4 linked regions of the Tamandua tetradactyla genome follow. Each later gene encodes a partner of the first gene's protein in a complex. Links are inferred from orthologs where the notes say so. Each region holds a gene or a part of one and is shown in the gene's direction. Other genes may lie near its edges. The genes, in order: guanine nucleotide-binding protein G(s) subunit alpha isoforms XLas, HTR6, olfactory receptor 51E2 and SCTR.

The links.
Region 2: the proteins of guanine nucleotide-binding protein G(s) subunit alpha isoforms XLas (region 1) and HTR6 are in contact, whole or in part, in a cryo-EM structure (PDB 7YS6), measured with the Homo sapiens proteins. The link is inferred for Tamandua tetradactyla from reciprocal best matches to the Homo sapiens genes GNAS and HTR6. Residues at the interface, in NP_000507.1 of Homo sapiens: Arg38, Ala39, His41, Asp215, Lys216, Val217, Phe219, Leu346, Thr350, Tyr358, Cys359, Phe376, Arg380, Asp381, Ile383, Gln384, Arg385, His387, Leu388, Arg389, Gln390, Tyr391, Glu392, Leu393, Leu394; in NP_000862.1 of Homo sapiens: Arg124, Leu127, Ile128, Pro131, Leu132, Arg133, Lys135, Leu136, Ile211, Gln218, Gln221, Val222, Leu225, Thr226, Lys265, Ala266, Thr269, Leu270, Phe323, Met324, Arg325, Asp326, Lys328.
Region 3: the proteins of guanine nucleotide-binding protein G(s) subunit alpha isoforms XLas (region 1) and olfactory receptor 51E2 are in contact, whole or in part, in a cryo-EM structure (PDB 8F76), measured with the Homo sapiens proteins. The link is inferred for Tamandua tetradactyla from reciprocal best matches to the Homo sapiens genes GNAS and OR51E2. Residues at the interface, in NP_000507.1 of Homo sapiens: Gln31, Gln35, Arg38, His41, Asp215, Val217, Phe219, Tyr358, Phe376, Cys379, Arg380, Ile383, Gln384, Arg385, His387, Leu388, Arg389, Gln390, Tyr391, Glu392, Leu393, Leu394; in NP_110401.1 of Homo sapiens: Met58, Tyr59, Asp120, Arg121, Ala124, Ile125, Cys126, His127, Pro128, Leu129, Arg130, His131, Ala132, Leu135, Asn136, Asn137, Ile220, Thr223, Val224, Leu227, Pro228, Ser229, Glu232, Lys235, Ala236, Thr239, Cys240, Lys294, Thr295, Lys296.
Region 4: the proteins of guanine nucleotide-binding protein G(s) subunit alpha isoforms XLas (region 1) and SCTR are in contact, whole or in part, in a cryo-EM structure (PDB 6WZG), measured with the Homo sapiens proteins. The link is inferred for Tamandua tetradactyla from reciprocal best matches to the Homo sapiens genes GNAS and SCTR. Residues at the interface, in NP_000507.1 of Homo sapiens: Gln35, His41, Val217, Phe219, Thr350, Tyr358, Phe376, Cys379, Arg380, Asp381, Ile383, Gln384, Arg385, His387, Leu388, Gln390, Tyr391, Glu392, Leu393, Leu394; in NP_002971.2 of Homo sapiens: Arg174, His178, Tyr239, Leu240, Leu243, Leu244, Ala245, Ser247, Phe248, Ser250, Glu251, Arg252, Leu320, Lys323, Thr326, Gln327, Thr329, Arg339, Arg342, Ser343, Leu347, Tyr388, Leu391, Asn392, Gly393.

Annotation. Positions count from the first base shown.
Region 1 is NC_135327.1:26,449,905-26,457,274, reverse strand, and holds the start of guanine nucleotide-binding protein G(s) subunit alpha isoforms XLas, read left to right. Parts: upstream 1-4,365; 5' UTR 4,366-4,380; coding exon 4,381-6,502; intron 6,503-7,370. UniProt on the Homo sapiens protein: Guanine nucleotide-binding proteins (G proteins) function as transducers in numerous signaling pathways controlled by G protein-coupled receptors (GPCRs).
Region 2 is NC_135328.1:206,667,486-206,675,204, reverse strand, and holds the start of HTR6 (5-hydroxytryptamine receptor 6), read left to right. Parts: upstream 1-4,715; coding exon 4,716-5,429; intron 5,430-7,719. UniProt on the Homo sapiens protein: G-protein coupled receptor for 5-hydroxytryptamine (serotonin), a biogenic hormone that functions as a neurotransmitter, a hormone and a mitogen. Also has a high affinity for tricyclic psychotropic drugs.
Region 3 is NC_135334.1:75,774,974-75,781,945, reverse strand, and holds olfactory receptor 51E2, read left to right. Parts: upstream 1-3,966; 5' UTR 3,967-4,001; coding exon 4,002-4,964; 3' UTR 4,965-6,494; downstream 6,495-6,972. UniProt on the Homo sapiens protein: Olfactory receptor. Activated by the odorant, beta-ionone, a synthetic terpenoid. The activity of this receptor is probably mediated by G-proteins leading to the elevation of intracellular Ca(2+), cAMP and activation of the protein kinases PKA and MAPK3/MAPK1.
Region 4 is NC_135329.1:95,985,078-95,993,027, reverse strand, and holds the start of SCTR (secretin receptor), read left to right. Parts: upstream 1-4,940; 5' UTR 4,941-5,071; coding exon 5,072-5,125; intron 5,126-7,950.

The DNA of each region.
Region 1 (7,370 bases):
CAAATCCCCAAGCCAGTCCTCAGGCTACCTTTCTGATCAGTCAGCTCCTCAAATATCTGGCCATGCTTCTGGGGTCTCTCCTCAAGCCGCACAGCCAATGTGTTGTTGAGTTTCACTCTTAACCCCACTTGCCCAAGTGATGTGAGGTTTTCAGCTTATAGTAGCCAGTCACTACAGAAAAATAAAAGTGGACAAAAAGGGAAACATTAGGGTTCTTAAGTGTTAGGATTTATTCTCCCTGGTCCTAATTTAATCTGAAGGTGATTCCTACTCAAGTCTCATTGTCCTTTCTCATCCTGCAGCAGTGGTTCTTAATGGGGGGCAATTTTGCCCCCCAGAGGATGTTTGGCAATATCTGGAGATATTTTGGGGTTGTTACAACTAAGAAGATGCTGCTGGCATCTAGTGGGTAGAGGCCAGGGATGCTACTAAGTATCTTTAACTGTATAGGATAGTCCCCACACAACAAAAGAATTCCAACCCCGAGTATCAGCAGATTTCATATGCTGACCACTTCCTAACTTCCCTCTGGGGTTCCCCCACCTGCCCCTTAGCCCTCACTGCCCTCTCCAGTGGCCCAAATATTGGCTTTGTCCAAGATTCTATCACCAAGTATATTTCTCCCCTTGAGAGTATTTTCTGATCCAGTGATTTCATCTCCTGCTAAGGACAATTATCAATTTGAATTTATTGGCTTTGCCTTCTTTTAAACTTAGACCCATCCTCCTAGTGTGTCACAACCTCCATCAAAACTGCCCATCAACTCTGCAGTGTCTAAAACTAAATTGGCTCCGCCACCATGCCGGCTCCTCCCCACTTCCCCCATCTCACTCATGGCTGGCCAGCCAAGTGCCATTGGGCCCCCTCCGCTTTTGTGCATTTCTAGCACAGAATTTCAGGAGATCCTGCTCCCCTGACTGTGTGTGGCTCACTCCCTAAAAGGTCACAGCCAGCCATGGCCTCCTTTGTGCACACACATACCCATTCCTTTGTTCTCTTCCTGAGGGCTCCTCCATGCTGCCTCAATCCTTCCTAAAACATGGCTCAAAACATAACTTGCAGGACAAAAAAAACTTTCCATGTCCTCTCTATTTCCTTCAAAAATAGCCTCAAAAGTGTTTGCCCTAGCCCACAGCATCCTCAGAGACATTCTTCTATTTTCCTTGCTTTTCTTCCTCTGCCCCTCCAAGAGCCCAGATGGCTTATTCTGTTACCAGGTCATGCCCCATGCTTCCTACCACTGGATCTTTTGTTCCCGGTGAGCTGGCTCCCATCCCCCCACCTATTCATAGCCAAGGCATCTATCCTTGACGCCCATTTGAAACGCCATTTCTTCCTACACCAAGCCTTCCCGGGTCCCCCCCTCCCCCCATCCCAAGTGGAAGTCTTTCTTTCATTTTTATGCTGCTATTTCCTTTGGGGGGGGGCTGGTATCTGCCCAGCCTTGATCCCCTCCATGTATGTGCTCCCCTGTCAAATAACCAAGATAAGCCAAAAGAACGTTGAACAAAGGGGGTCTCACGGGCCCAAGACAACGTTGCACAAAGAGGCCCCAAAACCATCCCTTGATGGATGCCTTGGGAAAGAGATCTCAAATTCGCACCATCCGAAGTGAGGTGGGCTGAGCGCAAGGCCTGGTGTGAACAAAGGTTCCTTCTGGGGTCCCCAGCGCGATCTCCCTGGGACTCAACCCCAGCGTCTACTGACCTTCCACTTTTGCAGGTCTCAGCATTCCTGGGGTCAACAACTGCATCGGGGCGGGAAGCCCTCTCCTCAGGGTCCTGGATCTCTACCTCCAGGCCCTGGAAATCTTCTTTCTCCTCACCTCGCCCCAGCGGCGGTCCCCTATGTTAGGCAGGTTCGCCAACCGCCATCAGCGAGACCAAGGGTCGACCCCTTGGAGCCCCTGGCCTCCCCACCCAGTCTTTGTGACTTGTGGTGTCAGGCAGAGTGACCCCACGGCGTTAACCGACCTCGTGGCCTCCCAGGCCTGGCGGCCATACACCCGCCCACCAACGGCTTCCAACCACCCTACCAACACCTCTTTGGGCGTTCCAACGCGGCGCCCCCTATTGGACCTCCCACCCATATCCGGTTTCCGGTCGGACGCCCCCTGCTCATTCGCCAGGAAGACTTGATTGGCGTGACCCCAGCCCAATGGCTGACCCGGTGCTGGAGTTGGAGGGGGAGTGAGTTGGCTATTGGGACCCAGTGGGCCCATTCAGTAGGTTCCCAAATGGCTGAGCTATGGTGCGTGCGGGTAGTTGGCCGAAGTTTGAACCAGAGTTCAGTGTTGGCATTTGGAAGCATGTAGTCCCATAGGGAGGAGGCAAAGCGCCTTTGGAGGGACCCCCAGACGTTAGTTCAGCTTTACCAGCGTTCCTCCCCCACAACAGCCCCCTGCACGGTGGGTGGGGGGGAGGTCGGGGCTCGGTAGCTGTGGTACCCTCCTTCTGAGGAAGAAGGACGCGTTAAACTTAAGATCGGACCGTGCTGTGGTTCGCCCGCAGCGGCTTGTGGTTATAGCGATCCCGAGATCCAGGCGGTGCGTCCTGCGAGCGGCAGCCCACCCGATGTGGCAATCAGCGGGCCATCCCTTCCCTATGGTTCCGCAGACCAAGCAACCACCTGTCCCTTCCCAAAGTGCTCGCCAGTCTGTGCTACCCGCTGGGCAGGCTGCCCGCGCGTGCGAGATTTTCTCTCCTGGGTTGCAGGTTTTCCCCTGGGTCAGATCCCTCCGCAGATCCCCAGACCCGGCGCGGTACACAGCACGCGCCGAGTCCACCCAGACACGACGGGTGTTTACCCCTGTGGGCTCTGAGCCCACCCTGTGCTATGGTAATAGCGCAGCCGGGCGACCACTGGCTTGTGGCCGGGCTTAGTGGTGCTTCTGCGTGTTCTAGCAATGGGAAAGTAAAGCGGTAACCCTGAGACACCCTTAGCAAGAAGAAAGGAGCTGAAAGGGCGCTGCGGAAGGGCCAGGGGACTAGTTGGACTTGCCGCGGGTGCTAGAGCCTTGGAGCCGCGTGGTGCCGCGGCACTGTGTGTGTGCCTTTGGATTCAGCGTGCTCAGAGGTGCCAATCTCCGAGACTATTCCAAGCCGGCCATAAACCTGGACCTAAATCCACTTTGTCTCTTCCCCAGAATGGTGCGAACTGCAGAACTCCCAGGCCTCCACTCTGTGGGGTCTCCATGTGCGCCCCGCACTCCCGGGTTCTGGGCTGCCGCGCCGCCGCCGCCACCGCCGTGACTTTTCCCGGGAGGTTTTGCCTGGCATTCAGTGGTGCACGCCCAAGACCCTCTTATTCACTCTGCCTCACCCTATACAAAAACGTGGAGAGACCCCCTGCCCGCGCTGCTCTAGGCCACTGCGTAGACCCCTAGAGTTTGGTGGGGATGGGGGACTTTGAAGGGCTTCACGGAAGCCAGCCTCGGCAAGCAGCAAAGGAAAACTGCAGAAGAGATGGAAAGTGCCCTAAGGCGATTTAAAAGCAATCATGTGCAAGCACTCGGCAGCCCCTCACTTCCCCTCCACCTTTCCGGTGGGCTCACGACCACCTGTCGCATTCTCATGCGCTATCATCCCCCTTCCCGGGCTCCCAGAGCCTTGCGCTATGGACTTGGAACTGCCGGGAACTTGGAGCTTGGGATCGGGGGCTTTCCGGGACTGGGGGCTGCGGCTCAGAGGTATCTTGAGGTGAGACACCCTCCTGCAGTAACCCCTCCCTGGGGGGTAGAGTCGGTTAGGTCAGGGAGGCAGGGTTTCAGCTCCTGCGTTCAACCTGCCCGGGACCCACGTCTTGCGTCACGTGTCCCGCAACGCAGGGAGAGCTTTCTCTCTGGCCAGGGATGAAGCGAGGAGAAAGCCTCCAAATCGTCAGGGAGAGGAGTGGAAGGAACCAAAACGTCCCTCGGAGGCCTGCGCTCATCGCTCATCAGCCCCTTACCCAAAGTCCGGGGTTGCGAGTGCCAGGAGCCAGCGTCCCCTGGTGGCAGAGAGCGGGCACTACAGACGATTTTCGGACCGAATCGGCACGCTCCTCAGATCCAAGCAGGCGGAGCTAGCCTGGAGCAGAGGGGGAGAGAGAGAGAGGAGGGACAAGGACAAGGACAAGGGGGGGCCAAGGGGGCAGCTAAGGGGATAAAAAGTGGCCAAGAAGGGACCAAGAGTCCACCAGCAACGGTAGAGTTGCTACTGCTATGGTCCAGGGTCTGAAGTGTTGAACTACCAGACTTCACCCAGGTTGAGCAGTGAGGTTGGAGAACTTTCTAATTGGTACTTCGATTTTTTTTTTCCAAAAAAATTTTTTCACCCTAGTTTGGTTGGGTGCTCCGTCTTACGGGGCCCCCAAATTATCTTGAAAGGCCGCCACCGTGTTATGGGCCTGCGCAACCGCCTCGACGGCAATCATATGTCAGGACAACGCGATATCCCCCTTGAATTCGGGGAGCAGCCCAACCAACCACCTTTGGAGGCCCCAGGGGCAGCTGCCCCCAGTGCTGGGCCTGGCGCAGCCGAAGCGATGGAGACCGAACCGCCTACCAGCGAGCCCATCCCGGTCAAGACTAGCGGTGAGGCCTTTGGATCGCCTGAGGTCTCCGAGCCCTGTTCCCAGGGCCTCGGCCTGGCCTTCCAGGAAGCTGGAGCTTGTGGAGGCCATAGTCCACCTCCCGAAGAAGTCAAGCTCTTCCAGACCGAGGAGCCCAGCGTGGGAGGCCTCTGGCCTACCCAGGAGCAACCTAGAACCTTCGCTGGGGCCCGTGCAGGGGCCAGTGCAAGCCTCGAGGCCTTTGGCCCAGCAGCAATGGAGCCCCAAGCCTTCGATGGTGCCAAGTCAGGCCTGGGAGGCTACAGCCCTCCACCAGAGGAAGCTCTGCCCTTTGAGTTTAAGCAGGGAGGCTGCAGTCCACCTCCCTTGCAGCTCGGAGCCCTCTCTCCGGCCAGCCCAGGTTTGGGGGTCACCAGCGCTCCCCCAGAGGAGCCTGGACCCCCCAGGTCTGCAGACGCAGGCTTTGGAGGATCCAGCCCTCTCCCTGAAGAGGCTATGTCATTTCGGTTCGAGGGAGCAGGCTTTGGGTACGACAGCCCACCCTCTGGGCTCTCCCAAGTCCTCCCAGAGACCGACCGCGGGGCCCAGGTCTCAGCAGTCGCGGTCCCGAGCGCGGTCCGCCTCACTCCCGCCGAGAACGCGCCCCCCCTCTGGGCCCCGGGCGCCATCGACAGTCCAGTCCGAGAGGCTGTCAGACCTCCTCTTCACTTCGCGGGTGACAGCCCCCCGCTGGAGATCGCCCGACCCCAGCTCAAGATTGGCAGCGCCCCCATTGGGGTCTACGACGCTCCCGTCAACATGGACAGCCCCCCAATCGCGCTTGACGGCCCGCCCATCGAGGTCTCCCGAGCCCCAGTTGAAAGAGAGCGAGCAGAGCCAGGGAGACCCCCAGTTGAGGGTGAAGCAGCCGAGATGGAAGGAAGCTCAGCCACTGCTCCCGCCGAGGGAGGTAAAGTACCTTCTCTCGGGAACGGAGCCCCTGATGCCAGGGACGGTGCCCCTGACTCCCGGGACGGAGCCTCTGACGCCGGGGACGGAGCCTCTGATGCTGGGGACGGAGCCCCTGACGCCGGGGACGGAGCCCCTGACGCCGGGGACGGAGCCCCTGACGCCGGGGATGGAGCCCCAGACGCCGGGGATGGAGCCCTTGACGCCGGGGATGGAGCCCCAGACGCCAGGGACGGAGCCCCTGATGCCGGGGACCGAGCTCCAGACACTCCAGACACCGGGTGTGCCGCTGATGCCCCTGCAGCCCCTGACGCCCCTGCCACCCCTGACGCCGGGGCCACCGCTGCCACCCCTGACGCTCCCGCTGCCGGGGCCGCTGCTGCCGCCCCTACAGCCCCTGCCACCGGGACCGCTGCCGCGGTCTCTGCAGCCCCTGCCACCCCTGCTGCCAGGGCCGCCCCTGCTGGCCGGGTCACCAGAGCCGACGTCCCTACCCGGGCATCAAGCAGGCTCAAGATGCAGCGCCTTAGACCCCCCAGCCCCGAGATCCAGGCTGCTGACCCGCCTACTCCGCAGCCTGGTCGCTCGGCTTCCCGGCGGGGCCCCAGGTCCGACCGCAGCGACGACGAGGAGTCCGTCAGCAGCGATGAATCCTCTGCCAGCAAAGACGACCCAGGAGAGGGGACCTCCGGAGGCCGCCGCTGGGGGCAGCCCCGGAAGAACCGCCGCCGCCGCCGCAAGCCCCGGCGCAACTTACTCCGCAACTTCCTCATCCAAGCCTTTGGAGGCTGCTTTGGGCGATCCGACAGCCCCCAGCCCAAAGCTCCTAAGCCCCCCAAAGTCAAGAAGGTTTCACTGGCAGAGAAGCGCAGACAGATGCGCAAAGAAGCGCTCGAGAAACGGGCTCAGAAGCGCGCCGAGAGGAAACGCAGCAGACTCATCGACAAGCAACTCCAGGCTGAGAAGATGGGGTACATGTGCACGCACCGCCTGCTGCTTCTAGGTAATGCGGTGGACGCTCCCCACTAGGAGCAGAGCCGCCGGTGGGGCCCGGGAGGGGGTGGCAGGGCTGCCCAGTGGGGTTCGGGGCCTGGCGGCCGGAGGAGGGGGTCCGGGCAAAGGCAGGAAAAGCCTGCTCGGAAGTTCCTGCAAGGGACCCTAACTTTACCCTGGGAGCGGGAGGGTACCCGGGCAGGCTCCGGGGGCCGAGGTGTGTGCCCTCCAGGGAGAAAAGTGGCGCAGAGCGACATTGAGGGTCGTTTCGGGCTGGACAAGCCGGCACCAGCGACAGTAAGCTGCCCCGGAGCCTTGGGGTGGGGGCCGGCAGAACAGGCGAGGGCTTCAGGTGAGCCAGGAAGCGCTGAGGAGGGGGCTGGTGCCTCCCCAGGCGAGGACGGTTTGGGCCGCGGTGGGTTGGGGACGTCGGGAAAGGTGTGCCCCCGCCTCGCCTGGCACGGCTGCTTGGACTCGGAAAGCTTGTGTTTGGTATGTGTTAGTGTCCGTATCCTGTGTCTGCCTGTGCATGATCAGCTCAAGTATCCCCAGTTACCCCAACCCCGGCACCCCAAATTACCCGCCGACTGTGTACTTGTACTGGAGAAGTGGCTTTCTGTGTTTTGCGCTATGGCGCGGTAAAAAAAACTTTCCGTGTTCGCGCACTCTGGTGGTACCTGTACGTTGGCGCTCTGCAGCGGGCAGCGCGAAAATACAGAGGGGAAGGTGGCTGGACATCTTGGGTTGAGGGGCCTTGGCGTGAGGGGGCCGGTGCACACCGGCCTCCATAACCTTTTTTTCTGTGTGTTTCTCTCTTTTTCCCTCTGCGCTAAACGTTTTCCTCACTTCTTATTCGTTCACCAAACCCTCCCGCCTTT
Region 2 (7,719 bases), on another chromosome or scaffold:
CATAGTGGCCCTGCCACCCACCATGTGGAATTGGGCTGGAGACAAGTTTACCGTCTGCATGCAGGTTTAAGTGACCCCCTGCCTGCTAGGGTCAAGCCTTGGCCATAATGATAAGCACTCTTGAGCTGGAGGTGAGGGCTAACTCGGGGGCCAGAGAAAGTGCTGCAGGGCTTCCAAGGACTTGGAGATCAGGTGCAAAGGAAGGGTATCCTGGGGACGTGTCCTTGGCACTGGGCCTCAGAGGCTTCCTGGGTTTAGACTGGAGCACTGTCTTGGTGGTAAGATCAGTCTTGGGAGGGGCTGCTCCACTCTGCATATGCTATGAACTTATACTTAGGATATAAGTTTGTAGATAGACAAAGGAAATTAATAAGAGGCATACTGGGAATAGAAGGAAGGTGAGTTGGCACTGTTGGTGGTGGGCCTGGAATGCTAGCCATAGTTGACTTCTACTTAGAGTATAAGTTCATAGATATATAAAGGAGATTAATAAGAGGCATACTGGGAATACAGCAGGAAGGTGAGTTAGCACCGCTGGTGGTGGGCCTGGAATGCTAGCCAGAGTTGACATCATTCTTTTTGCAGTGAGGATTCTTGGAGGTGTCCGAGCAGAGATATTTAATTAAGACTAAGATGGGAGAGAAGAGGAGGGGGAGTCTGGAGACCAGCAGGGAGGACTGCAGTGGGCCGGAGTTAGGTGGAGGCAGTGGGGTCGGGGAGGTGGGACCACGCGGGAGGGGTGCTACTGATTGGATGAACACCCCAGGGAAAGGCAGGAGCCAGATTTAAGAGCCAAGAGGCCACAAAGACTAGAGAAGCCCAGCTAGGTAGCTGTGCAAGCTTGTGGGTGGGTGTAGGGTGTGGGGATAGTGTCTTCCAGTTTTTGTCTTGGCTAAGCTTAAGCTGAACCACCAAAAGAACCCACAAGAAAAACATGTGCGCCACCCCCACCCCTGCCAACAAGAGTGGATGGCCTTAAAATCTTCCCAAGGGGTTAATACTGACACACAGTACTGTCAATGTAGGCCCCTCTTCGGATGGTCAGGCAATTTGCACCGGCCTTCCTGCGAGCCAACGCCCAACTAGTTTTCTTCCCCTGCTACAAGCCTCTGGGAAAACCCAGTCTGCCTGGGTTCAACGCCTGGCTTCACGATTTACTTGTACAATCTTGAGCAAATTGCTGAAGATCTGTGACTCTCAGTTTCCCCATCTGTGCGATGGGGACTGTTGATCACACAAACCTCACTCCCAGGCTCCCAGCATGACATGGGTCAAGGCACATAGAGTGCTCGGGACGCCAGCTACTATTATTATCGATGAGACTGGCCCACAACTGCTGGTAGCTGGGCTAGGGTTGTTCGTGTTGTTTATTTATCCACTCAGTCATTCACTGAACAGATGTTTATTGAGGACCTACTAGGTGCCAGGCACTGCTCTCGCCACCAGGAATACAGCAGTGACAAAAGAGACCAAAGCCCCTGCTCTCACAGAGTTCACCCAGTTTGGTCTATTCTCTCTGTGAGAGCCGCCTTGGGCACACCTGATGCCCTCTGCAGAACTCAGTTTCTCCATCTCCCTTCTTCTATGTACTAATGGGCTGGAGGTCTGTGGCAGAGGATGGAGGCTCATCTGGCCCATTGTGGCACCAGCTGTCTCCTCCAGAGGGGAAGCTCCCCGTGGAAGAAGTAATCAAGCCTCTCTCTCCTGAGATGTCCCTCCCTATTCTGAGATATTAAGGAATTTTTGAGTTTTATTACTTCATGAGTAAAGCGATAAACTTAGAAGCATCCGCGGAGCTTCTGAAAAAGTCTGGAGTGCTGTAGAGGAGAGATTTCAAGAAATCACAATGGCCAGAAGGTGGCACCACTATTGTGTCAGGTATCTTGAAAAATATTATTTTTAAAATTAAAGCAAAGTACAAATCACATATAACAAACACCTTTGCATCTATTACCAATACTTGCTAAATGTTAAGTTTCTTTCTTTTTTTTTTTTTTTTAGGTCTTTTTAAAGATAAAAGACATAAAACATTACTGAAAAAGCTATAGCAGAGGGACTCATCTTCTTTCCAATTATGTACTAAATTTTATAAAGCTAAAATTTACCTGGCACCTCCTCTGCTCTAAATATTTTAAATATTCCACTCACATCTCTACTGCTGTAGAGGATTTAAGAGACTTTGCTAGGCTTGCATAGCAAAAAGCAGAATTGAGGTTTGAATTCAGGCCAACTGGGCTCTTAATCCCAGCCAACACATCCCCTCTCAGGCTTGATGTTTCTCACACCAGGAATCCCTGGGCTGAAGGAGTGACCACAGGGCTGAACTCACCCTATGGGACCATTGAGTCCCAAACACGGAGCGCACCGTGAAAATGACAGATTACCCCAGTGGGTGCTGCGTTGCTCTGCTCGCTGTTGCATGGGACAAAACAGAGGCCCACATGGCTGGGAGGTGGCAGAGCTGGGATCCCAAGCCCGGGCTTCCTGACTTTCAGCCCAGTACTTGGTGGACTGCACTGTGCTCCTTGGGGCATGGCAGCCACCATCGAGGCCTGGCGGTGTGGTGCTGGGAGAACAGGCCTCCTTCCCCCCCCCCCCCCCCGGGTGGACCCCCTTCTTGCCAATCTGTGGTGTAGAGCTGGGTAAGGTGTGGCAGGGCCTTGAACTTTCTACCTGGAGGTAACGACCATTTGCAAAGCTCTCTCTCTGCACTGTACATTTGGTGGACTTGAGTTTCAGGTCAGCTTGACCACTTGCTGCTGTGTCCTAGGCAGGGATAGGGGACCAGGGATAGTTTTAGCCCCTTTCAGCCTCAGTTTAACATCTACCTCTCAGCGTTATTGGTGGGGTGGGAATAATATAATAAAGCCCCTGGGAGGTAGCAGGATCTCTACACGTGGGAGGAAGACCCCCTCCCCCCAGGTCCCCATAGATCGTTGCTATGGGAAAAAGCTCTACACTTTTTCCCATAGCAATGATCACCTTATGCAATTCACTTATTCATTGTCTCCTTGGTTATTGTCTGTCTCCTTTCACTGGAAGTTAAACTCCACAAAGGGAGATCTTCTTGTTCACTGGAGTGTGGCAATTGGCTGGAGCAGTGCCTGACACCTACTAGGGGCTCAGGGGATAAGGGAATGAACTCTGTCCTATTGCTGTGCACAGCCAGCAGGGAGAGAGACGCTGGGGGTCACGCCCAGGGGGCGCGACCCCGCCCCCCACCCCGCAGTAACTCCTGTCCTGGGCCAAGTGTTAGAGTGCGAGCGCCCCCAGGTTAGGGACTTCCTTCATCCCTAGGGAATTGGTTGGGCATTTACGGGACAGGAAGTTTTCTGCTGGCAAGCTCCTGGGGAGGGAGCCACCCGCAGCTTGAAGCCTGCCTGCTCAAATTAGCCCAGGAATGATGAACCCATTTTACAGATATGGCAACTGAAGAGTGGCGGGTGATCTGTCCAATATCTCCCAAATCTTGGCCTCGCGGTCAGCGCGGAGATCACCGCTGCGGGTGGGCAAACCCCTCCCCTGAGGAGCTGACCCTGGCTGAAGGCGGGCCGCGGCTCCCTCCTCGGAGTTCCGACTGCGCGCCCGCCACGCGTGCGTTGGGAAGGGTGTGCGGGGGTGAGGAGACTGCCACAGGCTGGGAGGCGAACCCCGCGTGATTGGGGTGCCCGGATCTTCCCTCCACGGGCCAGGGGTACCCGGGACCCCGCCTGCCTTAGGAGGCTGGAGCTCGGGCTCTCCCCGCCCACCGCGGGGCGGAACACTCGCTCCGCAGCGCGGGGACCCTGCGCTCCTGCCGGTCCCCACCGGCTCCTCCGCGGGTGCGGGCCCTTCGTGGCGCCTCCGGGCTTAGGGAGTCCCCGGCCCGCCGCCTCCTCGGCCCGCGGCCGCCTCTTCCTCTCGCAGCCCTCTGGCGCCTGCCGCAGTCGCCAGCAGCGGAGCAGCGCCGAGCGCCCCAGGTACCGAGCGCAGGCGGGAGAGCCGGGCCCGCGACCCCACGGCTGGGTGGGGAGGGAGCGGAGGCGCGGCAGCTGCTCCTCCTCTCCCCGCGGGGCCCGCCTGAGTCCTCCCTCCCCAGGACTGCCTCTGCGGGGGCTCTGAGTCCGGCCTTCCCCACCCTGGGACCCCAAGCTCTACGCTCCAGATCCTAGCGCCCCCACAGCCCGCCTGACTCCAGGGAGCTTACCTCCTGCAGGAGACCCCCCCCCCCTCCCCGGCCCCGGCTCCCACCTTCCCTGGTCTCTGCTCCAGCACCAGGCGCCCTCGCCCCATCTTACCGCCCGCCCCCTCTAGGGGGCTCTGCTTTCGCGCGAGGGCGGCCATCCAACCTCCCAGAGTCATCATCTGGCGCCCCCGTCCTTCAAACTTGGGGTCCGCTCCCAGTAGGCGACTCTGGTCCATCAGGCGCACACGTTCTCCCCCGAGTTCCTTTCCGTTTGCTCCAGGTGTCCCTGCCCCACCCCCGACGGTGTGCACCCCCCCCCCCCACCTCCTCGGGTCGTGGCTGCTTAGCTTGGCGGCCCCGCCCGCACCTTCCCGCCGGCCCCCTCCCTGTAGGGGGTTCCTTTCTCATCCGACGGCGCCCACCCGCCCTCCGCTCTTCCAAGGGTCTCTGCTCCTCAGCGGCGACCCCTCACCCTGTCTTCTCGTTCACACAACCACGTCCTCGGTTCCCCTCTCGGGCCTCACGTCCTCGTTCTCCATCTCCGGTCTCCATGGTCCCAGAGCCAGGCCCTGCCCACAACAGCACCCCGGACTGGGGGTCGGGGCCGCCGTCGGGCCCGGGGGGCAGCAGCTGGGTGGCGGCCGCGCTGTGCGTTGTCATCGCGCTGACGGCTGCGGCCAACGCGCTGCTCATCGCGCTCATCTGCACGCAGCCGGCGCTGCGCAACACGTCCAACTTCTTCCTGGTGTCGCTCTTCACGTCGGACCTGATGGTGGGGCTGGTGGTGATGCCGCCCGCCATGCTGAACGTCCTGTACGGGCGCTGGGTGCTGGCGCGCAGCCTCTGCCTGCTCTGGGCCGCCTTCGACGTGATGTGCTGCAGCGCGTCGATCCTCAACCTCTGCCTCATCAGCCTGGACCGCTATCTGCTCATCCTGTCGCCGCTGCGCTACAAGCTGCGCATGACGCCCCCGCGCGCCCTGGCGCTCGTCCTGGGCGCCTGGAGCCTCGCGGCGCTCGCCTCCTTCCTGCCGCTGCTCCTGGGCTGGCACGAGCCGGGCCGCGCGCGGGCCCCCGCCCCGGGCCAGTGCCGCCTGCTGGCCAGCCTGCCCTTCGTGCTCGTGGCATCCGGCCTCACCTTCTTCCTGCCCTCGGGCGCCATCTGCTTCACCTACTGCCGGATCCTGCTGACCGCGCGTAGGCAGGCGGTGCAGGTGGCCTCCCTCGCCGCAGGCCTGCCCAGCCAGGCCTTGGAGACGCTTCAGGTACTGGGGTGCCCGGGGAGGGAATGAGCGGCCTCGAGCACCCACTGGGCACCCATCACTTAATATGCCCTCTAAAGGACCAATTCCAGTTCCCTCCTTTCCGCTGAACTCCAGCCTCAGGGCCCCACTGTCCGCCTCACAGAACTCCCCCCCCACCCCCGGGTTTTGGGGCGTGCTTAGGGAAGACAAATTGTGCCGCAGAGAATTCAGAGCGTCTCAGCTCTCCCACCTGCTCCTCCTCCAGTCTTCCATTCCATCTTGGCAAATGGCACCTTGTGGCATCGCAAGCTGGAAACTTAGGAATAATTTCTCTCCAGGGCCTCTTGGAGCTGCTTCCTAAATATGTGCAGGACGGAATTCTGCACTTCTCCCCATCTCCTCTGCTGCCTTCCTAAACCAGGCCACTGTCATTTCTTACCTGGGAGCCTTTGGTAGACTCCCACCTGCTCCTCCTGCTTCCAGTCCTGACCCACTACTCTCTATTCTGCACAGGAGTCAGAACAATTAAAAAAAAAAAAGTGATCACCTCACTCACTGCTCCCAACCCTTCAGTGGCTCCCCATTGCTCTCAAGAAGAAAGGAAAGCCATCTCATGACCTGGTCCATCAACCTTTCCAGCTTCCTCTCTTCCCTCCTCTGTCTTACTCTGTGCCAGGCTGGCAGCTCTTCTGATGGCTCCTAGACGGCCCCAGGCTTGCTTTGGCCTCAGGGTCTTTGCACTTGCTGTTCCCACTGCCTGGAGTGCTCTTCCCCCGGGGCTGCCCTTGCCTGGCTCCTCCTCAGCTTTTGCATCACCTCTTCTGAGCGATTGTCCCTGGCCTACTTGGCTGCAGAGCCATCTGCCCTCCCCCATCCCGTTAGTCTCAGTTTATTTGCTGATATGTTTGTTGTCCGCCTCTCCCACCTGAGTGGGAGCTCCAGGAGGGCAGGGCATATCAGTAGGTTCGAGTCCCCACTGTGCATGGTGGGTGCTCAGTGGTTGCTTGTGAATGGGGCCAGTGCTCTTAGCTCAGATCCCGCCGCGTCTAGGAGTGGAGTGGCTGCTCTTGCCACCGTAGGCAACATGCACCTAAGTCCTGTCATCATCTGGAGGGAAGGCGATTGACACAACAGACTGGGCTCGAACCCCAGCGGATTAGGTCACAGGCCCCAAGGGAGGTCTCGACCAGACCCTGCAAGCTCATGGTGATGGAGCCTCAGGCTGAGGAGGCTCTGGGAGGGTGGGAGTGCTTTGATGGGGGATGTCACTTGGTAGCTAGGGACTTGGCCCAAGGGTGAGCCTTGAAGTGGTTGAAAGGTTAGCACCCTCCTTGGCTGTCCTCTAGAGAGGCTCGTCCAACAGCAGCGCAGCCCAGAGCTGCAGGTGGCCAGTCAACTAGGAGGGCAGGGCCCGGGTGGCCGGGGTCCTACTGTCCACCTCCCTGGGCTCGCTGGAGAACCTTCCTGAGCCTCGGCAGGCGGCTGTGGCCTTGATGTGGCTCTTCAGTGGTGGGGTGACTGCCCCTGGTCACCCACATTCTCTCCCTGGATTCTTTTAAAGGAGCATTTTCCAGATTTCAGGCATCCGGGAACTGCCTCAGGAGATCTGCCTTACTCCCCACATCCCCACACCCCCTTTCTTCCACCCCGAAGCCACTGGAACTCACATTTATTTAACATCTTCTTTAAATCATCCCACTCATTTTTTTATTTTCATAAATTTGTTTAGGGGGGAAATGAAAACCCCTTCTCGTCTCTTCCAGAAATGGAAAATCAGCATCCCTTGCCATAAATTGAAGATGTTCACAAGCTTAACTCAAGAAGGGGCCCAGGCAGCACCCCTAAAGTTTAGCCTGGGATGGCTGCTGCTCTGAGCCAAGGCCTCCCTTCTCTTTGCTTAAGCGTTCAAGGGTGCTAAAGACATGGTGGCATCAACGTGAGACCTCCTCCTCCATGTAACCAGGGGTGCTGGGAGAGCACTGCAAAGGGACAATGCTCTCGCTTTGAGGTGCAGAGCTTTTTTATGGGGTGTCCGTCCGCCTAAACTCACCTCACATTCTTACGCTTTGGGGAACTTTGCTCTAGTGACCTGCTAGAGAGACATTGGCTGGTCCTGCTGAGGTCAGGGTCGGGGTGGGGGGGCGGGACTCTCACGTCTGAGGAGAGGCTGATATCAGGAGTGAACCTGAGGCCGTGGCTTCGGCACCTGGGCGGGAGTCTCCCAGCTCCTGACAGCTGCAGCTGGCTGACCTTGAGCGCTCACTATGTGCCAGGCACCGAGCTAAGCTTAGTGTTTCTTTAATTAGAGAAG
Region 3 (6,972 bases), on another chromosome or scaffold:
ACCCTCATAGAACCAGCCATATGCTAACTGCACAAATGAATGAATGGACTAACTACATTGCTGGATGTAGGTGCCCATTAAATATTCAGTGGTGGTTGATAGGAAAACTGTTCTCTTCTTGTTTTCAGAGATTACAATCCTGGAGCACTTCCTAAAGGAGGCATTGCTTAAAGCTAGGTCTTAAAGGCTTGAGGCATGGAGAAGGCAGGGAAAGGAATAAATGGAAGAAAGAAAAGCTTGGTCAACTGCACAGAAATGCAAATAAGTCTATAAGGTGGTTAGGGAAGACCAGTTTAATAGAACCCAGGACCCCTGTAGGTACGTCAGATCATGTCTCTACTATTTAAAACTCACCAATAACTTCCCAGCTCACTCAGAGTCCAAGCCAAAGTCATTTTACGTTCCTTAAATCTTACAAAGTCTTCTATGGCCTGGTTTCCCATTGCCTCTCTGATTCCATCTCTCTTCTATTCTCCCCCTGTTCTCTTGGCTCAGGCACACCGGCCACCTTGTTTTTCTAAACCACCAGATGTGGTCACATCTCAGGGACATTTTTTGGTGTCTGTTCCTTCTTCCGGAATGGTCTTCCATATAGATATTCCATAGATGCATTCCTCATTCCTTCAGGCCTCTCCTCAAATATCTCCTTTAGATAACATCTTCCTTGGGCACTCCATCCAAAATTCCAGTTGCTCCCCTGGCATTTCATATCAGTTTCCTTTTCCTTTTATTTTTTCTCCTTATCACTACCTAAACATCCTATTTTATTTACATATTAACTCCATTCATTCTGTCCCCCTCATAAGAATGTAATCTCCATGAAGGCAGAGATTTTTGATGTCTGTTTTGCTTATTATATAGTAAGGCCACAATAAATATTTGTTGAATGGATAAATGAACAAAGATGCAGAACACAGATTCTCCCATCAGTATTATGGCTAGTTATCTATGTGACCAAAGGCAGAGAGCCTTTACCTCATCTGCCTTTACCTGTAATGGGTACAATGATGAGTGGCTTCCCAACTACAAAGGCAAAGCTAAGAAGTGATGCTGAGAAGTGTCAGGATGCAGACCCGAGAAGTTACTATCATCTGTCCCTAAATGCCTCTCATGCATGCATGATCCAATTCTGAATTATGAAGTTATACCTCTGCATACCATCTTGGTGTATAAAATGCTGTGAGCACTTAAAGGCCAAGGTCCTTAACTCTATGCCTTTGTTAGCCATTTGGCCTAGCAGGGTAGCAAATGAAGAATGGTACTAACCCCATAAGAAATGACTGTAGGAACTGGGGTTAGCTTAGAAGATGTGGGGGACTGAGGGAAACAGACCATTGGGACCCCTGTATGTTTACATGTGGGAGGGATGGTGGTAGAGGCACTGGGCCCTTTGCAATTGCTCCTCAAAGCAGGAACAGTGGGAAACCTGTGGGAGTGGCACACAGTAGACATGCTGTACATGTTTGTCAAGCCCCTGGGGCTTCTATACTCTAAAGCCTGCTCCCATGGGCCTGCTGAGCAGCATTATAAATAGGCCTGTGTCTGAAAGGATGAGATGGCCAGACTGCATCATTCTTAGGTAAGTGTACCCTCAGCTGGAGTCAGACAATCTGAAGCTCCTGCCAGCCTAAAAGAACTTGAAGACCACATACACTGCCTGGTACAGGGAGGTCTTGTCCCATCCATATCTCCAAGGACAGGTAAAAAAAAAAATGTCCCAGAGCCTTAACTGACAGTTCAGAAAGGCAGGTGAGAATAAAGCAGCAGCCACATATAGATGCAAAGAGAAGCTGAAATTGGATCTAGACAGGGGAAAAAGTAAGCAGAAGGACAGCAAACCTGTGAAGGAGACATGAAGTCTTTTCAGGGAAGCTTCTAACTCTGTGGCCAACAGGGACTCTTGAATCTGTCAACATTATGTGCAGTATCATGGGGACAGGGTTTTGAGAAGGGGGAAGAATGTAGCTGTGCTCCGCCCTGATGCCTCTCCCCATGCCTGCCCTTTCCTTCGGCCTGAGCCCCATTCCTCATAGGCATAGCGCTTTTGTGATCTGGTCTCCCACTATGGAAGGTTCTTCAACCCCATCCCACACACTTCTAGTAGGCCGTGTTTGAATTGCAGCAGCATCCCTCCCAAGCTATCTATGATGAAAGCTTTGCATCTCACTGGAGAATGTAATTCTCTGCCTCTGGAAAGGGCTTTTTACTCTCTGACAGCAGCTGTAAGCCAAATTTGGGATTTAAAGTTTGTCAAGGAGGGTAGCTATTCAGTCTCTGAACAAGTTCTGAGGAAGGAAGAGAGCACATAGGGGTCAAAAGTGTGACTTCTGTGACCTTTGAACACTGGATCTGTCCTTCTTTGCTTATAAAAGATGGGGAGAATCCAAGTCAAAATATTAATCCTCATTTTATTATATTGTATTATATTTTTAAGACCTCTGGTGTCTGAACCCTCTCCACTAAGGCCAGATGGAAGGGCAATTTCCGGAGGCAATTAGGACCCAGATTAGAGTGAAAACCAAGCCTGGGGGGATGAACACATTAACCTGAATATCACTACGAAGAGACCTACAGAGTTTATTCCAAAGAAGCAAAGCCCCAGCTCCTCTCATTCAAGCCTTTGGCTCCTTAGAAATAATTAGCTCCAAAGACCAGGGCACTTAGTAGCCTAGTAGGAGAGGAATTGGATGAAGTCAGATTCTTTGTGTAAAGAGGTTGGGGGGAACACTACTGCGTTCCCAAGAAGAAAATGTCTCCTCTAATGTGAATGGCTTGCTGCAGAGGTCCCAGGAAAGACGAAGGCCCTGGAATATCATTGTAAAATACAATAATATCTCTCCCAAAATTGGGTCTCAGCATGATATCTCCTTGAGGAAAATGAGAGTGGCCTCAGAGTCAGCTAATGTGTGGAGGATCTCACCAGCCAGAAGCAAAAGGAAATGTAAAGCAGGTGGGATTTGTTTGACTCATGTGTCCTGCCATACCCTCATCCCTGGGAAAATCATCTAAGGGAGCTACTACCTTTTACTTAATGTCCCCAGATGAGTTTCTTTTATCCCTGAAGAGATTTGCTTCTGACCTTTTTTCTTAGTTTTTGTTTTCTTTTCAGGATTTTTGTTTTATTCATTAATTGTTACTGGTCTGTTTCTTTTCCTCCCCACTGACCTTAGAACTGGAATCCTGAAAAATAGCAAAAAAAAAAAAAAAAAAAAAAGACCCTACCTGTACTGCCTTGGACCACTCTTTATACCCTCTTCTGCCTGTCTAATTTCTACTCATGTTTCAAGACTAAACAGAAGAATCATCATCTTTTTCAGGAAGGTCCTCTGATCATTGTTCCCTCCCTTCCCATGCAATAAACACAAGCCTAATGCTAGTGTCCATCAAAATACTCTAATAATTTGGTTTTTTGTCTACCTGATTATCTCTCACACTATGCAGGGCATCTATTGGGTGAGAAGTGACTTTCATGTCCATATCAGCAGCATGTAGCTGACAACCTTGTACAGGTTAGGTCATGTAATAAACGCTTATGAAACAAGGTAAATGAGTGAAAGAACAGACACAGCCACTTCTGAAAGGGATTCCCAATGGGGTATCTCTTAAACCTTATCTGAGGAAAGAGCCATTCAGTATCTATACAGTGAAGGTGTGGGCAGGGTGAGGAGTCTGAGGGAATTTGGCAAAGCCACATTTTTTAGATCAGCATTGTTTCCCTCTGAGTCCCTTCTAAAAATTCAAATAAACCTTGAGGGTAGTGATTGATAATGTATTTGAGCTATCCTTCTTCCCCGATCCCTTAGAAAAGGGGATAAAAGACCTGAGAGTCCTAGAGTTTGGGAAGAAGGAGAGAAGAGAGGTTAGGAAGGAAGACTGAGGACTAAGAGGCCCTCCGTCTCCAGGTCTCCAGGTTAGGTCTCTGATTATGCTCCATGTCCTAGCAGGTCATCAGGCTCCAATGTGACCTCACCCACTCCAGACCCGCCTCCTCAGTGCCAACTATGACTTCTTGCAACTTCACACATGCCACCTTTGTGCTTATTGGTGTTCCAGGACTAGAAGAAGCCCATTTCTGGATGGGCTTTCCTCTGCTTTCAATGTATGTCATGGCAATATTTGGAAACTGCATCGTGGTCTTCATCATAAGGACTGAGCGCAGTCTGCACGCTCCCATGTATCTTTTCCTCTGCATGCTGGCAGTAATCGATCTGGCCTTGTCTACATCCACCATGCCCAAGATTCTTGCCATCTTCTGGTTTGACTCCCGGGAGATTACATTTGATGCCTGCCTTGTCCAGATGTTCTTTATTCATGCTCTCTCAGCTGTTGAATCCACCATCCTTCTGGCCATGGCCTTTGACCGTTATGTGGCCATCTGTCACCCATTACGCCACGCTGCAGTGCTCAACAACACAGTAACAGCCCAGATTTGCATGGTGGCCGTGGTCCGTGGATCTCTCTTCTTTTTTCCACTGCCTCTGCTCATCAAGCGACTGAACTTCTGCCACTCTAATGTGCTCTCATATTCCTATTGTGTGCACCAGGATGTGATGAACTTGGCCCGTACAGACACTATGCCCAATGTGGTCTACGGTCTTACCGCCATCCTGCTGGTCATGGGTGTGGATGTCATGTTCATCTCCCTATCTTATTTTTTAATTATACGAACTGTTCTTCAGCTACCTTCCAAGTCAGAGCGGGCCAAGGCCTTTGGGACCTGTGTGTCACACATCAGTGTGGTTCTGGCCTTCTATGTGCCACTCATTGGCCTCTCAGTGGCGCACCGTTTTGGAAACAGCCTTGATCCCATTGTACATGTTCTCATGGGTGATATCTATCTGCTTTTGCCTCCTGTGATCAATCCCATCATCTATGGTGCCAAGACCAAAGAGATCAGAACACGCATGCTGGCCATGTTCAAGATCAGCTGTGACAAGGACCTTCAGACTGTGGGAAGCAGTTGACCCACCCACACCACTTCCTCTTATCCTTAATGGCTTGATATAATCATTACCTAATGTTAGCTTAGTTCTGGTTGCCCATCAGTGCTTATTTTCTAAAATTCTGTCTCTGTTCCTGGTACCACAGTATGTTTGAGAGGCTATAATGATCCCCTTGCATAAGTAAAAAAGCAATTGGTCTCTTTATTATATAAAAAATTAAATTAGGAAATCCACAATACTCATCAATAAATAGTAAGGCAGCACAAGGTAGAGTGACAATTAGCTTTGAAATGGGAAAAATTATTCAGTCTAATTAGTACCTAAAAAACTTATATTAAATCAATAATCAGATGACATTTCTCCTATCAAATTAAGAGTTTTCATTAATGAAAATTCACAATGAAAGTGAGGTTGTGTTGAAACAGGTATTCTTGAGAATCACCACCGATAGTGTAAATTCAAAACCTTTGAAAAGTAATTTGTCAATATGTAGCAAGATTTTTTTCTTAATGGAGTGATATCCTTTAGTGTTTAAAAAGAGTTATATCCTTTAGAGCTGATATCTCACTTTTGAAAATTAATCCTCACAAAATAGCCCTAAATACAGGGAAAAAATTAATAAAATATACTAGTTACAGCATTATTTGGAGTAATATATTAGAAAAACTGGGTATAATATATAAAAATAAGGAACAGTAAACAAAAGTATGGCCCATCTACATAATGGAATATCATGTGGCCTTTAATAATCGATGGAAGACTCTGTTATCGCAACAAACATGCTTATGATGTTAAGCAAAACAATGAGGGTACATGATTGAAACAAATTTGAAAAACAACCCATGCCTTGAAAGAAATGTGCTACTTTCTATTTTTTTTTTTATTATGGAGTTCTTGTTCAGCTGACATGTACTACTAAACAACTTTGAAAGTGGGGAAAATGAAACTCATAATTTATGGGTGCCAGGGACAGATGCAGTCCTCACTGTTGACATTACTTGGGAATTTACCTAAGCCTTTAATCATAATGCTAATTAACATTTCTTGAGTGCTTTTCAGTGTTCCAGGTGCAATGTTAACTGTTTTACAGGTTTCATGTGGTCTTTACAGCAATTTTATGGAGTATGTGCCATTTTTGTCCCCTTATAACAACAGGAGAAATGAGGCTTACCTTAGCAAGGTGATGCAACTAAGTCATACAATTCCTAGGTTCTGTGCCAAAAATTGAAATTAAATTTTTTAAGAGCAGGGCCAGAAGTCTTAACTACCTTGTTCTATTGCTTCCTGTTTAACATCTGCCATTTACTTCCTCAGCCTTTGCAAATCTTATTTACACTTTGCTGTGTACTAAGATGTATGGCTTTGCTTGTGATAAGAGATAACCTTGCCCTTATTGTCAACAGCAAATCCAGATTACTTTTCATATTTTACAGCCACCTTTCATGATCTAACAGCTTTTTTTTTTCCAGATTTTTGGAAATTTGTCTCCTACATCTCTTTATCATGCCTTCCCTTTTTTTAGTACATCCTGTATCCATCCAGTACTTTGAATGTATGACACTTGATATTGTCTGAGTTTGAATTTAGGTTCAAGATACAATAAAATTTTTATTTTGAATTTTGCAAGGTGTTATGCCAATTGCTATTACATTTATAGAACCCTATAATCTCAAATTTGGAGATGTGAGAGTTTCCCAGGTCTTTCTTCACCTGAATAGGAGTCCTGACAAGATATATGTTTGTTAAATGCTTCGTATCTCAAAGTAGGCTATTCCCCTTTTGTTGTTGAGCAATTTGATGAGCAGATGAAATCTCACTCCAATTATTGGGTCGATGTGTTCCCTCTGTAATTTCACGGAACAAGTCTTGGGCGGGAAATTTGGGTGGATAAATCATTGGGGATTCTATGAGATTGAACTCCCTTATATTTCCCTCAACAAATTTAACCCTCTTCCATCTCCCTCTTCATTAGATTACAACAAATTATACCCAACCGCCCACTATAAAAGCATAGTCAGATTATCAAGAC
Region 4 (7,950 bases), on another chromosome or scaffold:
TCTGTTAAATGCATGGTTATACAAGCCTCTGCAATCTTGAACACCAGCCTCCATCCTCTTTCTGGCCCAGGGGAGTGCAGTGATAGCGTTACAGCTTTATGCATGCCACTGAGATTGCAGGGGACTTTCCTTCTAGCACCGCACCTGGCACAGCGTAGGTGCTCAGTAAATAGTCATCAAGTGAATGCATTCAATTCGTTCTTAAATGAGGATTTGCTGCTGTTGGAAAAATGCAAAGAAAAAAATTATATGATTTCTTGTTGGCGAAATAGCTAAAAATAAAATCTTCTGACAACCTGAAGAATCCTTTCCACAGAATGTAGAAAAGAATGAAACAGTTTTATTTTTGAATAAGAACTAAATCAGACCATGATACATATCACAGGCAATCTGCAGAGTCCCACTCTTCTATAAAGTCAGGCAGATACAATCCATTACATATATGTTCACTGTCTTTATCCAAAGGAAAAATAAAACTTCTCTGACCTTTTGGCAAGCAGGAAGTTGTAAGCTGGAGCCAAGTAGCTAAGCTAAACTTCCACGACACAGGGAGACAGTGAATCACCTTCCTTGATAACCACATTTCAAGGAGATGGTGCCAAGAAAGACATTCCTGGGATGTCAAACTTGCAATAGACTTATTTGGCTCTGAAAAAGATTTACATATACCTCAAAGAGACAGAAAAAAGATTTATAATAAAAAATTTTCTAAAGGAAATGCTGGAAAAAAAAGGGAGGAGAGATGAGTTCTCTTTTCCTTTTTGGCACTATGAAAAAATTTTAATTTAAAGGTTTTTAGATTTGTATTGAACAAATACAAATATATATTGCCTCACTGGATTGAAACTACTGAAGAACAATTTATCCCAGAACCAAAAGCGGGATCTCCCATCCTCAGGATAAATTACCCTTTAAGTTATTATTATGAGAATATGGTGAACTTTCAGCGTTTGGATGGCCATGACTTCAGCTTGCATATCCCAGTGGACCAGCAACTGCAGTGGGATAAGCCAAAAGAGATTAGAATCAAGACCTGGGAAACCATTTAGATCAAAGATTGCCCCTCCCACAATGAACATAACAGTTAGGGTCCATTCACTAAAATAATGAAGTTTAGAGCATGTACCGTATGGTATTTCCCCACAATGGCCATAACCATATTTGTGGTCTTCCAGAACCTTTTCTTTCTCCCATCAAGAGGTTAAGTCTATGTCTTCTCACCTTGAACCTGGGCAGACTTCTTGATCATCTTGGCAACAGAATACAGCAGAAGCAGCACTGTGTGACCTCTGTGACGAGGTCAGAAAATGCAACAAGCTTCCACATGGCTCTCTCTGGGGTAACCTTTGGACCCCTGGGGTCATCTTTGGATCCCTGAACTGCTATGTGAGAAGTCCAGCCTTTCTGAAGATGCACATTGAGACAGGAGAGATGCTTGGGGAGCCTCAGGGGTCCCAGCCTAGACAGGTAAATGAACAAGTCTTCAGGGGATTCCAGTTACAGCCACTGTCTGACAGCAACCCTGCAAGAGACCTCAGCAAGAACCACCAGTCACCCTCTCATCACCGCCCCACCAGAGCTGTGCGATAATAATAAATATTTGCTGTTATTTTATATCATTAGATTTCTGTGAGATGGGTATAAGCACAATGGAAACAGCTCCAGTTGGAAATCAAAAACCAAGTTTAAGTACAAGCAATTCTACCTCTTAGCTGTGTAATCTTGAGTTACAGCTTCATCAACTCTGTTTTCCTCATCTGTTAAATGGGTATGATGATATCACGAAGTGAGATTACTCTTCCTTAGCATCACCCCCTCCCCAATCCATTTCTTACCTTCTCCAGCCAGAAGGTTAGCTCTATGGACAGTTTCTCTCAGGCTGGCTTCTGATGGGGTTCAGCTAATAGGAGACACTGCCAGGAGCTCAGTGGACAAGAGCAGAGAGAAGTCCTGGTACTTATTCTACCACCTGGCCCCCTTGCCAAACCACAGGTGTGGCGGCGTCTGCATTCCTCTATGGATAAGCTCCAATGGTTGGCCCTTCTTCCAGGCCAGCTTCCAGGAATACTGTTCCCTATCCCTGCCCCTTTGGGCCCACTATTGCTTTTCCCTAACCCCTTACCATCCCTCATTGCTCCCTTAGCTCTGCCCACACTTCTGCCCATAGCTCTTTCATGAAATTCTCTTCAATTCAACCCTTTGAGCAAGCGCCAGGTTCTCCCTGCCAGCTGGTCTTACTGACCTCACAGAGTTGTTTTGAGGCTCGAATGAGATGATGCCTGCAAAAGAGTTTTGGAAGCTCCAACAGTTAAAAAGTCATCTGCATGGCTGCGATGAATCCTGGTATAGTGCAGATCATAGTATAGTGCAGAGTACGGGTAGGCTTTGGACTCAGTCTTGGGTTCAAATCCTGGCTCCACCTCTTGTTTAGCCATGTCAGTGGGGACAAATGTTGGTGCCTCCTAAGCCTGCAGTGTCTGTCCTATTTATCAAGGAGAAGAATTCTCCCTCACCTAGTCCTGGAGAATTAGATATGATAGTACATCACACATTTCTAACACTGCCTAGTGCACGACAAATGTTAAACACGTCATTAGCTCCCCAACCCTTCCCTCCCACCCCTATTAGGAAACTGTTTTCTCAGGCAGTCTTTATGAAGGCACTGATTGCATCCGTGGCCTGTAGAAGGGCATCTCTCGGAGCTCCTCAGACCCTTTTCTCAATGTTCTGAGAGGCAGAGTCCCATCTAAGGAAAAATGGCTTGCCATAGGCCAGAAATTTATTGACTTGTCTGGAACAAATGTCGTTATTGTCTTCTCATTGCCGAACATCCTGTGTAAGCGCAGGATGCATTCTTGTGTTGTTTCCTCTTGATTTCTTTCAATCAAAAAAGCCATGCATATTGTTACAGAAAAATTCAAGCATCACAGAAGTCTATACAGTAAAAAGTGCAAGTCATAACCCCGTGCGCTTTTTGATACACATTTAGGCTGTTGGGGTTCCAGGAGGTCCAGGAAGTAACCTTTTTCTTTCCAGCCTGAATCTTGTGCCAATTGAGAAATAAGATTAAGACAGATGGGGCCAAATATCACTTTTATTAGTCAGTTTTGGAGAATATGGTTTAAACTTGTGGGCAAATGGATTTTCTATCCCTGGACCCCAGGAGTAGAGAGACCACCACCCTGCCACTGGTAGTGCTTGACCAATGCAGGGGCAGAAGAGCTGGTCCTGGGCAGGGAGTAACAGGTTTTCTGTGGGTGGGCAGGTATGCGGGCGAAAGGAGAGGAGGTGGGGAAGGGCTATGCACGCCAGGTCCTTACCCCAAATGCATCAGTCATGTAGAGCTTGCCTCACCTGTGAGTGTGTATACACGCGTGGGTGTGTGTGTGGGGGGTCATAAGGAAGAAGAGAGAGGTCAGGAGCATTGTATTAATGGTCCCTCTCCATGAGGAAGGAAACATCAGGGTGGGGCTACGTGTTCTCCTTCCATGTGCATTACTTCCAGTCTTCTGCTTCCTAATAGTGTTTCCAACAACACCTTTTCACATATTCCCTTAGGTCCCTTAGCATTTCTTTAGAAGTACTGGAAGTACTAACTGGAAGTAAGTCAGAGGTTTTGTATATTTTAGATTGTTATGTGCTGAACTTTGATTTTGGACCTGGGAGCTGAAAGCATTTTCTTTTTTTCTGCTGTGATTTACCAGTCTCGCTTTATTTATCAGTGGTCTCTTAGGGTAGCAGAGGCTGCTAAGGATTAAAGCATGACAGTACTTTCGGGGTTGCTTAGTGGTCTGACCTGAGGTCAGTTTTGGGGAATTAGCATCAACCATGGAAGTGCAGAGCCAGGCATTTGGTCTGAGCTTCTGAATCGCAAGTACCTGGCTGTGTCACTTGTCCTCCTCCACCCTCTGTGCTCTCTCTCATCAATTAATACCACCTAGGAGGTATTGGGGAGAATTAGAGAAGTAGGTGAACTCAGGGGCTTAAAGTGCCTGGAAAGAGAGATCAAGATAGGCAGTGGATGAGAAGAAAGGGAATGGGCAGCAGTGCAGAGAAAGAAACTGGGTCTACAAGAGCTATTTGGGGTACCTTGTATTGGCAGGGGAAGAGCCACCTCTAGGACATCTGGGTGCTCTGATGCTGGCTGAGGAGGCAACTGGGAATACCTGCCTGGTGCTTAATAACCTCCCTGGGGCGCTGGGAAGCATGAAGCTTCCAGGCTGCCTATTGGCAGAACAGCTCCCAAATTCCTGGGGTACCAAATGGTTCTCGTTGGATCACCTAGCCAGATTTCATCAAAGATTTCTTCACGTGGTGGTGCCCACGGGAATGAAGCTTCCTGCAATGAGCATGCATGACTTTAAGAAAATTAAGTGAAAATCGAAAATAAAGTGTAAGGCAGCTGCCCCCGCCCCCCCCCCCCCCCCCCCCCCCCCGCAGTATATGCAACTGGCATTTACCGAGCGAGCACTCGCTCTGTAAGAGGCACTGACTAGTTTACAACCTTGTTTCAACTCGAAGGTAGGTGTGTTGTTAGGGGTGAGAGCTCTGCAGCTCAGAAAAGGTGCCCCAAGTTACCCATGGGCACCCAGCAAGGCCATGGCAGGGTTGACCCAGAACTTAGGTCCGTGGAATCTCAGGAGAGGGCTCTTCCCGGATTTCCGGGGCTCTCCTTGGTGTTGCAGCCTCGAAAGCTAAGCCAGCGTGTCCTCTTGGTCTCCCCCGCCCCGGGGACGAACCTGCGGGAACCGGCTGCAGGCCCTGGCGCCGTCCCTCCGCCTCCTTCCCTGCCAGCCTCTGCGCCCTCCCGACGGCCCCCGCCAGATCGCTGGGTGGAGGCGCGCGGCTGCGCCGCGTCCTGATCAAAGAGCTGGTCGGCTTAGCGCGCAGCCACCTCGCCTGAGGCGGCGCAGCACCAAAGAGCGCCGCGGTCCGGCCGCCCAGCCATGGCTCCTCGTGGCCCCGCGGCTGGTGGCGGCTCCGGATCCTGAGCCGCGCGCTGAGCTCCCGGGCGGGCGGAGTGCACCGGCAGGCGGCCGTCGGGGGAGCGCCGGGGAGCGCGCCGGCCACCATGCGCCCCTGCATGCCGCTGTTCCTGCTGCTGCTCCCCTGCGCCCTGCACACGGTGAGTACGCGTCCCTTTGTCCAGCGCCCCCTGCCCGTTAACAATAATTTCTATTAACTCCTCTCCTGATAGCCCTTTTCCCCAAAAGAAAAGAAGGCTTGCGCTCCAGGAAAGGGCAGCTCTAAGGCAAATCGCTGTGCCCTTCACCCCAGCCCTCCCTCCAGGCTGCGCCTCTCTGAGACCCTCCTAGGATGGACATTCTGTAGCCGCCCCTGGCAGCACCTTTTGTGAGCTGAGCCCTTTGCCTCCCTCATTTCATTGAAACCTCATAATCACCTGCGAGGCGAATATTACCGCCCTCACTTTACAGATAAGGAAACTGAGGCTCAGAGGAGCAAAAATCTTGCCCTAACTCAGGAAAAGAGGAACCCTGCGTTTGTCTGCACCAAAGCCTTAAAATTTTCCCAAAACGGGCTGCAAATGGGGAAACCTCAGAAAGCTCTGGCGGTACCTTCCAGGTGTGTGATGGAACCACTTATGGCTCCCTCCCTCCTCTCTCTTGTGGGATTTGGTCTCCTAATGTCTGGAGTCTCCTGGGAGCAACTGCTCCCCACAGACCAGATCCAGGGAGGGGCTTTGCAAGAGAAAGGAGAAGATGGCAGGGTGGTGGTGTTTTGTTTTTCTTTCCCACAGCGACTCCTGGGAATCCCTCTGGAATTAGTGAATGAAAGCTTGGCTAGACCCAGACTGCTGGGCTGCAAAGAGTCTGGGAAATTCCCACCACTATTCCAAACTGGTCCCCAAAGTCCCTGTCCCAAGAAACTTCCCAGGGAAAGTGCTTGGGGACCGAATTCTGAGTCTTCAATCTTTGGCCTGGGCAAGTTCTTGCTAACATCCAAACACCTTGCTTTCCTATAACTCTCTTCTGTTTGATTGTAAGAACAACCTCTGTCCCCCCACCCACGCACTCCCGCCACCTGGATATCAGTGTTGACTCAGGAGGTGCCCAATTTTCAGGCAGCTCGGTGAATTTCCAGCAGCAGTAGTTTGGAAGTGTGGAATTTGGGGCTAGCTCCCAGCTCCCTTATAACTTTGTAGCTTCCTATCCTGAGTGGTGGTCAGATGGCACCCACCCATTAGTCTGAACCCCCAATCTGAGGTAATGCCACCTGGGACATCTGGGACAATTTGAAATTAAATATGACCTGGAAGCATGTCATTCAGTGCCCAGGTTTGGAAGAAGTCGTAGCCTCTTCTGTGGGACGCCCCCATCCTCCTTCTTGAGTGTTTGCAGTAACCCTGTGTTTGTCTTAAATCAACAGGTAATTGGGCTATAGGACTAGGGCTCAGCCTACATTACATTTTAAGAATATCTCCTGAATAGCTCAGGATTATGTCAGGAATAGCAAAGGGGAAAATAAGAGCCACCATTTGGGTAAAGTATTCTTCAGTGTCCCTGGAAGAATGCTTGATTATATTCCTATTCAATTCTGAACAATCTGAGACCCATAGAGGAGACGCCTGCCCAAAATTGGCAAGTTAGTAGTAGACCTGGGACTAGCACCCAGAACTCTTGATTCTCAACTACCCAGGGCTGGTCATTATAGCCTCAGCTTTACACGTCATTGCAAACACTCATGGATGTCCTTGTATCATTATGAGATGGCTTCCTATGTGTAAATCTTGGAACTCCAGTTATTTTACAGAGTTTTCCAGACCCGAGATTGTGTCTCATACTTCCCAGCAGAGAACACCTTCAATAAATAGGTGTGGAATTGACCCACGGTGGCTGGAGTATTTCCAAGCCTCTGAAACCCTTCAGTTTGTTTGACTCTGGGTCAGACATTTGATTTTGAAATTGAAGTGTATTTAAATAATTCAAATAGGATCTCCCAAGAGGGAGATTTATCTGTGTCCTCTGAACGGCAAGTCATTAAGGGCAAAATGCTTATTATAATCCCCTGCCTCCTTTTCCTTCGAAGGAGGTGCCAGTAGAGTTCCTGTAAGTGGAAACCAGAAGTGGTGATTGGTGCTGAGACAGTTTTCTGGGGTCTTCTCTGTTAGTTTGCAAGTGGCCGGAAGGCAATTTCCCAGAACTGGAGCAGCTTTTAAAAAGGGAAATTTAATAAGTTACAAGTTTACAGTTCTAAGGAAGTGAAGGTGTCCAAATTAAGGCACCAACAAGAGGTTACTGTCACTCAAGGCCGATGGGTCAGGAATATCTCTGTCCATTGTGTTCATGTGCTGGCATCTGCTGGTCCCTTGCGCCTGGGCTCCGTTGCTTTCAGCCTTTGTTCCTGTGGGGGTTCCTCACTTTGCTTCTCTGGGGCTGTCTTTCATCTCTTGGCTTCCCTCGGCTCTCTCCAGGTCCTGGCTTGCTTAACATCTCGTGATAATATCTGCTGGGCTCCAAGTATCTCCCAACATCTGTGTCTCTCTTCTCTGCCTGTCAGCTCTGCTCTGAAGTTTCTGTCTGCTCTGTCATTTCTAACTCTCTCCAAAATGTTTCCCCTTTTAAAGGAGTCTGGTAAACTAATCAAGACCCACCTGAAATGGGTGGAACCACACCTACATCTAATCAAAGATTACACCAACAATTGAGTGTGGCACATCTCTATGAAGATGATCTAATCAAAAGTTTGCAGCCTACAATATTGAATCAGGATTAAAAGAAACAGCTGCTCCCACATGATTGAATCAGGATTACAATGTGGCTTTTCTGAGGTACATAATACTTCTAAGTGGCACACCTCTCATAGGAGGCAGTGGCTACATCTCCATATGTATCTGCCACCCCCATGTATCTTATGAGCCTTAAAGATTGTCATGCTACAATGTTTCATTATTTCCTGGCATGTCTGTCTTCCCCCATCTCTAACACACAG